Diceros bicornis minor: one gene and its partner. The protein of the gene in region 1 binds, or shares a complex with, the protein of each later gene. Links are inferred from orthologs where the notes say so. Each region holds a gene or a part of one and is shown on either strand. Other genes may lie near its edges. The genes, in order: TLR4 and LY96.

Evidence for each region.
Region 2: the proteins of TLR4 (region 1) and LY96 are in contact, whole or in part, in a crystal structure (PDB 4G8A), measured with the Homo sapiens proteins. The link is inferred for Diceros bicornis minor from reciprocal best matches to the Homo sapiens genes TLR4 and LY96. Residues at the interface, in NP_612564.1 of Homo sapiens: Gln39, Met41, Glu42, Asp60, Ser62, Phe63, Asp84, Ser86, Arg87, Thr110, Gly111, Val132, Val134, Glu135, Asn156, His159, Ser183, Ser184, Asp209, Leu212, Arg234, Val259, Glu262, Phe263, Arg264, Asn265, Glu266, Arg289, Ala291, Tyr292; in NP_056179.4 of Homo sapiens: Met40, Tyr42, Ile66, Pro67, Arg68, Arg96, Ser98, Asp99, Asp100, Asp101, Tyr102, Ser103, Phe104, Arg106, Leu108, Lys109, Gly110, Glu111, Thr112, Thr115, Thr116, Ile117.

Annotation. Positions count from the first base shown.
Region 1 is NC_080767.1:25,339,000-25,346,547, reverse strand, and holds the start of TLR4 (toll-like receptor 4), read right to left. Parts: upstream 3,118-7,548; 5' UTR 2,898-3,117; coding exon 2,805-2,897; intron 1-2,804.
Region 2 is NC_080772.1:25,416,991-25,425,080, forward strand, and holds the start of LY96 (lymphocyte antigen 96), read left to right. Parts: upstream 1-5,027; 5' UTR 5,028-5,140; coding exon 5,141-5,252; intron 5,253-8,090. UniProt on the Homo sapiens protein: Binds bacterial lipopolysaccharide (LPS). Cooperates with TLR4 in the innate immune response to bacterial lipopolysaccharide (LPS), and with TLR2 in the response to cell wall components from Gram-positive and Gram-negative bacteria.

The DNA of each region.
Region 1 (7,548 bases):
GATTGTAAGCTTTGATAGTCTTGCTCTCTGCTATGCCTCCAGCACTCAGGATGGTGCCTGGCAAATGGTTAATGCTTAGTAAATATTTGGTGAATAAATGAATGAATAACTGATGGAATGGAAGTTTGTTGAAATCCAAATGGTAGGCATTTTCTGCTAAGTGCTGCAGGCAGTACAAAGACCAACGTGATGTGGCTCCTGACATCAATGATCTCACAATCTAGATAGAGGAAGGGTTCAGAGAGGAGCACAACTCACATCACTAAAAAGGACCATATTGGAAACGCTCGGAAAATATTTCCTTTGGTTCAGAAAAGGTAGATATCAATTCCGGATCCAGGGATCGCAGAAGGCTTCTGAGAAAGAGAAGTTTTCGAAGTGGGTCTTGAAGGATGAGTAAGATTTGGATACATGGAAAGAGGAAGAAGGAGAGAACAGTGTAAGGAGGGGTGAAAAACTAGTTCAGATCAGCTGGCACATGGTGAGAGTGGTGAAACCAAAGCCAGAGGGGAAGCCAGAGCCAGGCCAGGAGGGCCTCGTACTTTGTCCTGTGGCAATACTTTTAATCATTTAACACATATAAATTGATCAATTTCTATGTGCGAGGCACTGGGATATAGTGATAAACAAAACCAGTAATGATCTCTCTCTCTCATAGATTCCGTTTCAAAGGGAAAGACAAACAATAAACAAAAAATATATAATGGCGTGCTATTAAAAAATAAAGCAACACGAGATTAGAGGCAAATATGTGGGTGGGGAGTTCTATATGAGGTGATCAAGAAAGACCTCCTGGAGGTGGTGACATTTAAGCAGAAATATGAATAAAGTGAGGGATTAAGCCATGAAAATATCTAGGCCTGCACTGTCCAATAGGGTAGCCACTAGCCACACACAGCTATTGAGCATGAGAAATGTGAATAGTCTAAACTGAGACATATGGTAAATGTAAAACATGTACTAAATCTCCAAGACTTAGTACCAAAGAAAGAATGTAAAATATCTTATTAATACTTTAGTATATATTACATCTTGAAAAATATTTTGAATATACTGGGTTAAATAAAAATATTATTAAAATTAAATTCACCTGTTTCTTTTTATTTATTTATTTTTTATTTTTTATTTTTTTGCTGAGGAAGATTTGCCCTGAGCTAACATCTGTTGAAAATCTTCCTCTATTTTGCATGTGGGCCACCACCACAGCATGGCCACTGACCAGTGGTATAGGTCTGCGCCCAGGAACTGAACCCGGACTGCCGAAGTGGAGTGTGCCAAAACTAACCACTAGGCAACCGGGGCTGACCCTCTTTTCATTCTTTTAATGTGGCTACTAGAAGATTTAAAAGTATGTTTTATACTTAGTTAGTTAAAATTTAGTTAATTTAGTTAAATAAGAATTTAGTTAAATTTGTTATTTAAATAATATCATGTGACCCACATGATATTACCATTGGGCAGCAATGATCTAGGGGAAAAGCATTCTAGCTAGAGGAAATAGCCAGTGCAAAGGCCCTGAGGTAACAAACAGTTCTAATAGCAATGGAGAGTTAGCATAAGCTTTTAAGGAGGGCAGTTTGTTAGAACCGAATCTCAGGAAAAACAACAAATAAACAACAAACAAAAATGTGCAGAGTGAATTAAAGGAAGCAGGCTATGGAGTCAGGAGACCAGTCACTATCCAAGAGTCAAGGCCAAGGGAACTGAGGACCTGCCCTTGGTGGCACTGAGGTTGGACAGGTTTTGGAGACTGAGAGAATAGGGAACGTGGGGAAAGGGAGGATCCAAGAGTGGAGATGACCTTGATTGGAGGATCTATCCCCATTAACCTAGCAGCAGGAGGCACACAGAGAGGAGGACGAGAAGTGGGGAACTGGGAGCATACACGACTTGGAGATAACAAATGTGTCTTTGGTACATATTAAGGTGCACTATTCCCCCATGTCCTCAATTTTAGGACTCTGGCTGGTTATGCTTTTCTTGTTTCTGACCCTGCCACAGCCTAAATCCCAGGGCATTGTTTTGGCTGTTTGGTTCTATCATGGGCTTCAAAGCAACTGTGAAGTCCACGCAGGGGAAAAACAAGAGATCCATCACGAATGAGATCATTAGCTGGCTGGTGTTTCACAAAGAAAGAAACCACTGGATTAGCTGATATTTTACATCTTTCCCTCTCTCTCTTTTTTCTTCTCTCTTTATCTCTCTCTGTGTCTCTTTCTCTGTTTCTCTCTCTTTTTCTTTTCCAATCTCTTTTCTTTTCATCCTTTGGACAGAACTATGACTAGATTCAGAAGTCTGAAATCCACTTTGAAAGTTCTTTCTATTAAGAAACAGAAAACCATCTTCTTCCTGACATTGAAAGGGGCAAAGTGACTGCTCGAAGCTGAGTGTACAAACCACCAGTGGGAAGGGAGGACAGGAAGGCACCTTCTTAGAACTCTCTATTGAATGAGGTATCATTACAATTATTTTATAGATGTGAAAATTAGTCTCAGAGAGGTTTAATAACTTCTTCAAGGTCACACAGCCCAGAAGGTGAAGAACAGTGATTTTAAGCAGGTGTATCTGACGTAAAGCCCCTATTAGCACTTAAAGTCCTAAATGGAACACGACCCCATGGCTGCCTGTTAGTGTCTGGTAACCACGAATTATTTGGTGCCTGTGGCTTCTCAAGTCTTTCAGGTAATTTGACTCCTTTTAGCAAATGAAACTAAGTAGAGCCCACAGTGGGAAGTTCTGGGCAGAGAGCAGTATTTCAGAAGCAAGGCAAAGCTCACAGCAGATGAGCTGACGCCACCACATACCTGCACACAAGGGTCCCAGGTCTCAGGTCTCAGGCAGGAGAGGAAGGCCATGGCTGGGATCAGAGTCCCAGCCAGGCGGGTGGGCGGCATCATCCTGGCATTTTCTGCGACCAAAAGTGGCCCTGTGAAAGCATGACGCACCAGGGCAGCCTCCGAGGCACTGCTGTCTTCTCTCCCCTGCTCGGTTCCCCACGGCAATGACTGTATTCAAAGCAGTGCTAGCTTAAGGGGCCAGAGGAAGTGAGAGTGGCAACCTTAGCATTCTGGACTTTTGTTTCTCTAATATTTATCTGCTCTGTCACAGGAGGGGAAGTTAGAAGAAGAAGAAGAAAACGTTTGCAGACCAGTGGCTGGAGTAACAGCGAGAGGAAGCTGGCTTTTATCCCAGGAAGTCATCTGACCTCCGGGTTAGTGAACTCAGGAAAAAAAAATCAGACCAGTCAAACAGCCTGTGTAACTATCTAGGATGGTGCCTTTCCAATTTTGTTTTAGCAGTGGAAACTTACTGTCTGTGTTAGTTTCCTGGGGTTGCCATAACAAAATACCACAGACTGGATGGCTTAAACAACAGAAATTTATTTCCTCACAGTTCTGGAGCCTAGAAGTCTGAAATCAAGGTGTTAGCAGGGTCGATTTCTTCTCAGGCTCTCTCGTTGGCTTTAGATGGCCGTCTTCTCCCTCTGCCTTTGCATGCTCTTGCCTCTGGGTGTGTCTGTGTCCTAATCTCCTCTTCTTATTAGGACACCAGTCAGATTGGATTAGGGCTCACCCATGTGAATTCATTTTTCCTTAATTACCTGTTTGAAGACCCTACTCCCAATACAGTCACATTCTGAGATACAGGGGTTAGGACTTTAACGCATGAACTTTGGGAGGACATGATTCAGCCCACAGCGCTGTGCAATCTTGTAAAATCTTGTGAAGAAACTCACATTTATGAAACTGAAAATAAAGCCCCAGTGAAACACAGTTTGAAAAGTACAAGAATATTGGGAAAAGATTGGGATGAAGAATCAAATATACTGAAATTCAAATCCAGGCTGGGTAATTTATGGCCATGTGACATGGTCAAGTCACTGAAACTACTGAGCCTTAATTTCTGGTCTGTAAAATGGGATAATAGTTTTTAATTACAACAAAGGCTTGCATTTATAAAATTTATAAAAATAAAGCCATGTGACAGTTGCCAAATGATACAAGTTGCTAAGCCTTCATTCTTGGTCTTTAAAAAGGAGACAATCACATTTGTCTTGCATGATTGAATTTACGTAAAATGCTTAGTCTAGCGCATGCTTCATCAGTATATTCCGTAAATCGGTAGGTATTATGATGACTAAATAAAATAATAAAATGGGGCTCACAATATGAACCTCAAAGTATTGTCATGAGATTAAATAAGCTGGCATTTGTAAAGCTTTTAGGACAGTATCTGGGATGTAGCAAGTGCAGTGTAAGTTTCTGTTAAATAAGAACATAGATTAAAATAGGGATATTACTGGCATTGTGTCCTAGATAGTTAGATAGTTCTACCAAGATGTCCTGCGGACACCTCAAATCCAGCATATCTAAAATCAAGCAGTGAGGGAGCATAGGAGACTGAGCACAAACTCTTGCAGACTTCTTGAACACAGCTGTAAAATTAAACTAAAAATAGTCTGCCTGTCCAAACTTTGCTTTGATGATGAATTGCAACTATGTAAACGTCTTAGGGCAGCACCTGGAACAGAGTAGGTGCTCAGTAAATTTTAGTTCCCTGGAAAGTTAACAGCGTTTCACTTCCACATAGTCATCCAAGATGGAAATCTCTTTGACTTCTGCATTTTCCTCATCGAATGGGTGTTAACTGTATTCTCTTATTTCCTGTTTTCTCATTGCTCTGGCTTGGGGCCTTGCTGACTGGGGATAGACTGCCCCTCCCAGGGCTAGCCATTTCTTAGAGATAGCAAATGATTTGCCCTAGAGCACACCTTTCATATGCAAACTAACCAGTCAAAAGCTCCTACCCTGAACCACCTCCTGTATCTGGCTTTTATATTCTAGGAGGCAATCTTTCCCTGCCCTAATCATCACAGGGCCAGGTACCAGACAACTAGAGAAAGTCCTTGTACCCCAGAGCCTGCAGAAATTATTCAAACTAGCCTATCTTAAGCCTGCTTACCCTTTCTTTCCTTGCCTTTCCCACAGAAACCACATTAATGGCTCCTGCCCTTGCCCCTTCTGCCTCCTGACAGACCCTGCACTCCTTCCCCATGTGGCCCTGCACGGTGTGGCGTGCCCCCTCCTCTTGGGAAATGTGAGCAACAAACCATATTTTCAATGCCAGTCATCTCCTGATCTGTTGGTCTCATCACACCTGAATAATAAGACCTTCATTTTAAAACAAAACATTCTACCAAATCCTAGAGATTTTACCTATAAAATAATTCTCAAATGTCTTTCTTCATTTCTATTAGTGTTACCATTAAACATATCCCTTGGCGAGGTTAGTGCACTGCATTGTTGATGGGGTTCAGGGCAGGCCGCCCCAAGATCTGCCACTCTGGTATGCGGATTATTTCAAGCTGAAGACAATAAAGGCTCAGAAGAATCATGAAGGATATTTGACCTTCCCCCAAACTGCCTAAAAGAATTTAAGATAAGAGGCCTGTCCCCAGGACAGGACAACACCATAGATAACTCTGGGTATGGATAGACTGGGAGGGTCCTTGCTAAGCCCATTCTTATCAAAGTTCTGTTTACCAAACATTTACATCTGTAAGGGAAATCTCCATTTGTAAAGGTATCTCCCCCTCTGTACTGAGAAGAGGAGGGTGATGACCTCATCTCTAGAAACTTATCAATGCAAAAGGCGAGGCCTTAAATCTGTGTAATAACCTTACTCTTGTTTACTGTGCTTTTCTGGTAATCTCCCATAGCTGACTACCCCCACTCCCAACATCCTCCTTTGTTTTTATCTGAATCTATTTAAGAGAACCTCTGCCATTTTGTTGAGTTACCCAGTGGGTCTCTCCCTTATATACATGTTATAAAGCTTTGTTTGATTTTCTCCTGCTATTTGGTCTCATGTCAATTTTATTTGTAGCCCAGCCTGAAAGAACTCAGAGTGGGCAGAGGTGAGTCTTCCTCCCTTTCACTGTTAACGGGTCTCCCAGTGTCTAGACTCATCTCTTCTAATGTCTCAACTCTTCTAATCCATCCTTTATCCTGAAATCAAAGCAATCTTCCTAAACTGTGAATAGAATTACCTCATGCCATGTTAATAATATTCTGGGGCTTGTATTGCCACTGTGCGCACACACACACACATACATACACACACACACACACACAGTCCATCGCCTAAGAAAGAGAAATAAACGTGTGTGCTGTTTCAGGCCAGACATAACTAGACTCCATTAATAGGACACAGCACATAGGTGAATAGAGTAATACAAATATGTAATGGTGCAAATACTCTTTCTTCCCATCACTGGAAAGAAAAACCCTTTGATGGTCAAGATGAGGCCTAAAAGAAAGGGTTCAGGGGGCCGGCCTGGTGGCATGGTGGTTAAGTTCATGCACTCCGCTTTGGCGGTCTGGGATTCACAGATTAGGATCCTGGGCATGGATGGACACGCCACTTATCAAGCCATGGTGGCATCCCGTTTACAAAATAGAGGAAGATGGGCACAGATGTTAACTCAAGGCTAATCTTCCTCACCAAACCAAAAAAAAAAAAAAAAAGAAAGAAAGGGTTTAAAACGATCTCCTGGACTATGTTTCTTAAGATGTTAATACATGTGTTTTATAGAAGTTTTCCTGGAAAATTTTCCAATCTATGACTGGAGAATTCCTGAGAGTGCCTTGTAAAGATGCTTCCTTTTCATGGGATTAACACACTATTATCTAGTAACCTTATCAAAGATATCTCAGTTCTGTGTACTTCTTCTAGAAGATAGGCCATATGTATCAATTACAAAAGATAAATGTTAAGCCTTCAGTTATCAAATCTTATTTGTTTTTGTTGATGGACCTACCATTGCCATGTTACAATGAGGTAAGACAGTGGTGATGAGTTACCATCCTGGGCCCATGGTTTCCACTGAAGTGTAGTAATAATTACGCCTTAGGCACACAGTAGTAGAGACTGGGCCAGGGGCATAGGAAGTGACTTAGTTTTCCACTCCATGTGGAGCAAGTTCAACTCCGGACCTATAATCATTGAGTCAATGGAGGACTCTCATCTTCACCAGAGTTCCTGCAGAAATGTCTCATTTGATTTGGCAGGTACCGCATATTCAGTAAGAAATATAGGAAGGACAAAACTGACCTGTGTTAAGTTAGGCCAATTGCGGTATCAACCTCCAAATTTCAGTGACAACACAGTAAAAGTTTATTTCTTGCTCATGAAATGCTTAGTGAGGATATTCCTAAGTGGAAGTACTTCAAGACTGATTCAAGGATCCAGGCTGCTTGTATTTCATTACGGTCCCGTATTCAATATGCAGCTTCTAAGTTTGCCACAGAATCTGAAAAGAACATGGGGAAGATGCACTGATACTTAACTACTTCTATTCAGAAGTAACATGTATCATCTCTGCTCTCACTCCATTGGCCAGAGCTAGTCTCAAGACCACACCCAATTGCAAGGACCCTCTATCTCTTAAGCTTCAAGCCTCCTACCCTGACCCAAAATTCACATACACCCACACAAACACACACACGCAGGTCACCGATGAGTACCGCTCCACAGCACTAATTCTAT
Region 2 (8,090 bases), on another chromosome or scaffold:
AGTGTTAATCTGTCTCTTTTGGTTTGGAGCACAGGTTTTGGCCTGTCTTCTCGGGCATAGTTGCCCATAGTGGGGATCTCCCTGTCTGGTCGAGTGTGGTTAGCTGTAGGGGTAATAGTGACCTAAGTAGTGTTGTCTTCTGACCAGTGGTGTAGGTCTGCACCTGGGATCTGAACCCGCTAACTTGGGCTGCCAAAGCAGAGCATGCTGAACTTAACCACTATGCCACCAGACCAGCCCATAAGTAGTGTTGTCTTGAGTGGTCTCATTTGTCATTCCATGTGTGCTCTCCTCCCTTAGTGCACCCTATCAGAGTAGGAAAATCATTTGTACTAAAAAGATGGACAGTACCTTTTATAAAATAGCAATCTCTTAACTTTATCGAGTGTTGATAGTTTAAGGTGTTTACCTCTAATTGTAAAATGAAAGTTGGTTCTTGTGAAGGATTTTCAGCCAGAAGCTAAGGCCACACATCATGCTATTTAGATCAGGAGATACTAAGTGCCTGGAGTGTGCCAGAGGCACAGTTAAGAACAAAACACCGGGCTGGCCCCATGGTGTAGTGGTTGAGTTTGTGTGCTCCACTGTGGCGGGCCGGGGTTCATGGGTTCAGATCCCGGGTGCGGACCTACGTCACTCATCATACCATGCTGCGGTGGTGACCTGTATACAAAATAGAGGAAAGATTGGCACAGCTGTTAGCTCAGGGCTAATCTTCCTCAGCAAAAACCCCCCAAAAAACGACACCCACTCTGTTTGGAGCTGCCTAACGTGTCCTGTTGCCTGCCAAGATGGTAACTCTAATCTGTACGGCTTGCCTGTGTATGAGGCAGGTTGATGGGAAGCAGCAGGGGCATCACTAGTTCCTAGGGAAAGATGGTTCAAGTCTGAAGCTGCTAGAAGTCGATAGGAGACAGCTTGAGTGAGGAAAGTGTTCATCTTCCTGTGACCCAGAGCCTGCCCTCTCCTGGGAGCAGCCAGCTTGTGATCCTAGCAGTGGGTGGGCTCTGGGTCTCGGGAAGATGAACAGGTAGTACCATCTCTCTCCTTAGGTTGGGCCTCTGCCCGCCTGCTCCTCTGTCTTGTGTCACCTAGATACATACCTGTTGCTATCCTAGCAGTTAATGTGATTTATATCTTTCTCTGAAAATTATTCCATGATCAAATGCTCGTTATCAAATAGAAAGTAGAAACAAGAAGAAATCACTCCTAGAAAAAAACGGCGTCGTTAACATTTTGAAGTTTCCAAAGGGTCGATTTCCTCGTAACTTGTTTTGAGTCCAGGATATCTTTTTTTTTTGAAGGTCCTGTATCCGTGTAGCCATTTTCTCACCTATGTACTGGTGTGAAAAACCCATTTTTATTAGTATCAGAATAACTTTTCAGAAGACAGCTTGGTTGTTTAGGAAAAAAAAAAGGCTTAAAAGACTGAGAGAGAGGATTTCTAAAGGGCGTGGTCTGGAGTGAGACTAAGATGTAGACAAGGATCAGCATGCATAGGATAACACGATGATTCATTACTGAAATAGCGGAAACACCAGTCCGAGATGAGGAGAAGTATTCGCACATCTCTCCATGACACTTCACCACCGTCACCCCAGGCAGAGTCATCCCACTTTCTATGAGAAAGGCATTGAGTCAGGTTTTTTTGAGTCTCAAAAGGCAGGGTGCCCGGCTAACATCTAGGTGACATCAGATAATATACCCTTTGACAATTAATTGTACTGTACTGTAATCCTTTTTCTCAGTGGAGATTTCATTATACTGAAAGACTTCAGCTTTTAGAAGCAAAAGTAACAAAATGGCGGTTAGGTATGAATAATAGCCTTAGCTTGGACACATTTGTTAAAATTGTATTCTTATTTTTTCAGAATACTTTGTACTTTTGTTGTTGTTTTTCTTTTCACTGAGAATTTCAAACATTCAAAAGTAGGAGAGTGAACCAACATGACTATCATCCAGATTCAACAATTACCAATTTGTGATCAATATTGTTTCCTCTAGACCCTAACCACTTACCCTCTCCTTTTATTTGGAAGCAAATCCCAGATGTCATAACATTTCTTAAGTAATTAATTTTGTAACACTACAAAATAACGACTTAAAAAATGTAACTATAATACCATTATAATACCTAAACTGCCCCCCTCAATGTTATCAAATATCCAATCTTCAAATTTCCAATCGTTTCATAACTTTTTTCTCCACATTTTGTTTGGATTAAGAGCCAAGTAAAATTCATACCATATTCACAAACTGTTGAAATGTCTTTTAAGACTCTTCTAATCTATGGGCCCCTCCATTTCTTTCACAATTCTTTTCTTCCCCTGCAAATTATCTGTTGAAGAAACTGAGTTGTCTTGATATCTTTTCATGGTCTGGATTGTCTGATTGTATCCCCAAGGCATAGTTTAACATGTTTCTCTGTCTTGTGTATTTTCTACAAATTGGACTTGAGGCTTCATCAGATTGAGGTTTGATTATTCTGGACAAGACTAAGTCATAGATGATGTTTGTATTGATTATCTATCATTGCATAACAAATTGCCCCTCAAACTTAGAGGCTTAAAACAACAAACACCTGTAATATTGCACAGTGTATTGGTCAGGAATTCGGGAGTGGCTTAGCTGAGCGGTTCTGGCTCAGGTTCTCTCATGAGGTTGCAGTCCAGATATTAGCTGGTGCTGCTATCATCTGAAGGCTGGACCAGGCCAGGAAGCACTGCTTCTAAGACGGCTCACTCACACGGCTGACAAATTGGTGCTGGCTTTTTGGCATGAGGCCTCAGTTTTTGACCACATGGATCTCTCCTCAGGGCTACTTGCTTCCCCCAGAGCAACTGATCCAGGAGAGCAAGGTGGAAGCCACATGTCTTTTATGATCTACCTTAGAAGTCACACATTGTCATTGTGCAATATTTTATTAGTTACACAGTTAGCCTTATTCAGTGTTGGAGGGGACTACACAGGAAGTTGCGTACCAGGAAGTAAGGATCATTGGGAACTATCTTGGAGGCTGGCTGCCACAGTGTTCATCCATCAAGAGGTACACAATGCCTTTCTGTCTCTCCCTTTGTGATGCTCAATGCCTAAGTCCACTAATTCATTAGATGTTGCAAAATGGTTATACACTACTATTCCTTTTTCGTATATTAGCTAAAATATATCTCAAAGTAGAGAAAAGAGTAAGAGATGGCAAGGGAAACTTGCCCCTCTCTATTATTTGGTTACCGATTGTTCCGTTTTTATAGAAATGTCAGGATAAATGCTTGATTCTTTCCCTTTATTTACCAATCTTCAAAATAGAATTGATTTCCCAGCATCAACTGATGGTTAATTAGACTTAAAAAAATTATTATGAGCTCATGGATTTAAATATATTTGATGTGTTTCAATTCATTGCAGTTACTATCTTATTGAAGTTCGTATAATCTACAGGTAGGCTGAATAATGGCCCTGCAAGATGTTTATGTCCTAATCACCAAAAGCTGTGAATGTTACATTATACAGTAAAAGAGATTTTTTAGATGGATCTTGAATTAGGGAGATTATCCTGGATTATCCAAATGATTCCAGTGTAATCACAGGGATCCTTATAAGAGGGAGGCAGGAGGCCAGAGGAGATGTTAATGTGATGTTGGAAGCAGAGGTGGTAGTGCTGCACTTTGAAGATGGGAGGCAGGCAAGGATTGCAGCTCTTGAAGCTGAAAAAGGCAAGGAAACAGATTCTTCTCCCAGATCTCTAAAAGGATCCAGCTCTGCTGACATCTTGACTTTAGCCCAGTGAAAATGATTTTGGACTTGTGACCTCCAGAACTGTGAGAGAATGTATTTGTATTGTTTTAAGCCACAAGTTTGTGTTTATTTGTTACAGCAGCAATAGGAAACTAACAACGCTGTCTTTGATCAGTGGAACCACCTTCAAATTGGTTATCTAATATGAGAAGATGTTCTGGGTTCATCTTGTACATTTTTTGCCCCAGACCTGGAATTAACAATTTCTCCAAAGAGTCTTGGTTCCTTTGATTAGGAAATTGTATTTTGAGACCCCTAAGGGCGTTCATGGGTTTTTCCTCCTTTTTTTTTTTTTTCACTTGTAACGTATATTTTTAAATTGTCAAAAACATAAATTTACCATCTTAACCAATTTTAAATGTACAGTTCAGTAGTGTTAATTATATTTACATTGAGGTACAACAGATCTCTGGAACTTTTTCATCTTGCAAACCTGAAACTCAATACCCGTTGAACAGCAACTCCCCATTTCCCTGTCCCCCCATGGGTTTTTGCCTTTTTAAAAATGGGACAGTAGCACAGTTCTTTAGTGAAAACTTTTTACCAACATATGATTATTTTCCTCTAAACGTGTAGATTTTTAGGTCCTGACTCCACACCATTTTTGGCTACTAATCCCAAACTATATCTTATAAAGGATTTCAAGTACACAGCATCTAAAAGATTAGCTGTTTTTCTAAAACGGACCGAGAATTTTGAAATGAAATACACGCCACACACGAAATAATGATCATTTCATTATTAGGGCTCAAGATAATCCTTGGAGCTGTAGTTTGCTCAGGTAAGTGCATTTTCAAGCCTGGTGGGACCCCTGCTCACAAAGCAGAACCACAGCTAGTGTCCCATATCCCGGCTCTGCCCCGTGGTTGACCCTGCTGCTGAGTGGAAACAGTTTGCATAAGACTGGTCAGTTCAGATCTATAGGTCCAGGTCTCCCGGCCATGAGAAAGTGTTGTGTAACGAGCTCATGGGAGAGAATAGCAATGCAGGTGGAAAAGGAGTGCCAGTCTTTTGGAATTCTAAAGGATACTTTCTATTGGCTGGGAAGTATCTTGTTTTGTTTGTAAAGCTCTGGTCACCCTCATTTGCATCAAGTGTTTGAAGAGTATGTTCTAAATCATTTTCCTCTCTCCCCTTGCAGGAAGTGCTCACATATTAAACACACACACACACACACGCGTACACACACACACACACACACACACAAAAGAGGAAACAGTTGGATAGGAACTCAGAAATCATGTGACTGATGACTAAGTTAAATTTCTTCTACATACTGAAAGGGAAGAGTGATGATTAGTTATTGATTCTCCTTGCATTTTTAAAGTTTTGGAGAGATCGAATCATGTTCTCATTTATGCTGTTTTTCTCTCTGTTTTCTTCTGTATTTACTGAACCTGAGAAGCTACACTGGATCTGCAACTCCTCTGATTCAAGTATCTGGTACAGCTACTGTGGTAAGTACAATGGCCACAGACAGTAGTTGTAGCGTCGGCTATTTCAAGGGTGAGTTTTCACAAGAACCTTATTCTGTTGTCGCTGGGACACAGGAAATGACTGAGTGTTCCAGTTGCTGCTGGCAGCAAAAATGATGGCTGGTTCCCGCCCTGTGCGGGTTTTCTCGACCCTTCACAGACCTCACGAGTCTCTCAACTGTGCTGTACTTGACTTCCAAATGCTTCTGCTTTTCCCTGTGGTCAGTTGTCTCTACTTTGAGCTCGGTTTCAGGTTCTTCCCAGTTTCGGCAGAAATGTCTGCTTCTGAGATTTTGCCTCAGCCCCAAGACTTACTGGTTCTTCTTGAGAAGACAGAACAGTGCTAGCTGCTTCCTGGAATCGATTATTGCTCCACACTGTGGTTCTTTTTTCAGCACAGTGCCGGGCCTGTGACAGGTTCTCTGTAATTGTTTCAGGCTGTGAATTTCGAGAGCTCCTGGAATCACCTCCCTCATTAGATGTAAGCCTGGTTCTGTCAGTTACTAGCTGTGTGACCTGGAGCAAAGTACTTAGCCTCTCTGCATCCCAGCTCTTTTATCTGTAAAATGAAAGTGATTTTAGAGCCCATTTTACAAGGATTGCTGTGAGGTCAAGTTTTCTATGTGAGGAGTCACATGGAAACAATAATTTTGATTGCTTTTTTTAAATCAGCCATTCCTAATGTTATTAGCTGGTTGTATCACTGTGTTTTGTTTTTTTTCTTTCTCTACAAACGTCTGCTGGTCTGAAAGCATGGTTTCAGGGTTTGATCTCTGTTTTGGTTTGGTACTTCCCACTGCGTTGCTCACCATGGATTGGCTGCCCTTTTCTACCCACTAGCAACATCAGTACGGTTTAAAGGGGTGCTTCCCAAAATGCTAGGTCTTTGAGAGTCTCTTGGGAAAAAGCATCTATGGTCTAACCATTTGAGGAAGATTTACAAATGTATTTTGAATTTTGAAAAATTCTGCAATAAAGAAACCTATTTAATCCCTAGATTTTCAATTTTATTTTACTTTATTTTTTGAGTGTGTTGACTGTCCTGAGAAACACTCTCAGGAAAATGCTGATATAAAGTATCTTTCGGGGAATTAAAGTAATTGCAGAGTGTGAGAACAAGACTTTGGGGTGTGACCAATCTCACACTTGTGGCTTTTTTCCTATTTGTGGCTTGTGCTGACTTCCCCCTCAACTTCTCTCTGAAGTTTCTGCACCCTGCAAGATCAGTGTACCTTCCCCCCTTCCGGAAGGCTCTGCACCTGTGGCCCCTACTTCTCTCCTCTGCTTTGGCCCCTGTGTACCACATATTGATTATGCCCCCTTCTCTGTACTATGTGCCGTATGGCCTTTATTTATATAACACTTCATGTTATTACTTTGCTTTTAATCTTTTAGGAACAATAATTCGATTTGTCTTTTGATTTGATTTTTGAGAGAGGATCTTACCTGTTTCTCTCTAATGCTGAGAAATGGGGTCCTTTCCTGCCACCCCACGGATAGATGCAGGAACTGTGGGGAGGAGGCAGAATACACAGCTCCACCAAGACTCTGCTAGCCACCATCCCCACTGCCATGTCCCTCCCTTCCCCACCTTAGAGCACGCATCCTGGCTGAGCAGAAAATGCATGCTGTGTGGGAAGCACTGGTCCCTCCAAGTATATTGTGAGGATGTTGGTGACAACAACAAGCCCTGATTCAATCATTTCTGGGAGGATGATTTCCATTTGGCCATGCTACTGGGCATGTACAGTGTATCACATGGGCTGCCGTAACAAAACACCGCAGACTGGGGGGCTTAAGCAACAGAAACTTATTTCTCATAGCTCTGGAGGCTGGAAGTCCAAGATCCAGGGTCAGCAGGTTAGGTTTCCCTCTGAGGCCTCTCTCCTGGGCTTGCAGATGGCTGCTTTCTTGCTGTGTCTTCATATGGCCTTTTCTCAGTGTGTGCTCATCCCTCGGGACTCTCTGTGTGTCTAAATCTCCCCTTCTTCTAAGGACACCAATCATATTGGATCAGGGCCCACCTGACTGGCCTCTCTTTAACTTAATCTCCTCTTTAAAAGCTCTGTCTCCAAATACAATCACATTCTGAGGGACTGCGGGTTAGCACATCAACATGTAAATTTAGTGGGGATGCAATTCAGCCCATAACATACAGAAATGGCAAGAATTGGCTGTTTTATTGCCTAACTTTGGAAAAGGCGGAAAATGTGGGTGTGTGAGCTCTAGACACACACCCTCCTGTAACCTAGAGTGGTCAGATTCAGTTCTAACCTTTTTTTTTTTTTTGCTACAAATAGTCCAGAAACCCAAGGAATTAATGGATTATAATTAAACCAGGATTCACTGACCATCTGGCATGTTCCTGTTCTAGACACTGAGCGTATTATATAGCAGTGAGCAACAGAGACAAAAGTACCTGCCCTCATGGAGTTTCCATCAGTAAAATATTCAGCATGTCAGATGGTGGTAATTGGTGAGAGAGAAAAATAAAGCAGGGGAGGGGAGAGAGAGGGCAGAGATTGGGAAAGGGGTTGCATTATAAATTAGGATGACCAAGGAAGGCATCACTGAGAAGGTGACATTTAGCAAGCACCTAGAATAGTGGAGGGAGTGAGCCATGCTGATGTCTAGGGGAAGGGGTGGAGGAAAGAGCAAGTGCAAAGACCCTGGGGTGGGAACGTGTCTGGTGTGTTGGAAGGGTAGCAAGGAGGCCACTGTGGCTATGAAGGAGTAAGTGAGAGGGAAAGCAGTAGAAGATGAGGTAACAGAAGGAAATGGTGAGGAGGTGAGGGCCTTGTAGGTCAGGGGACGACTTAT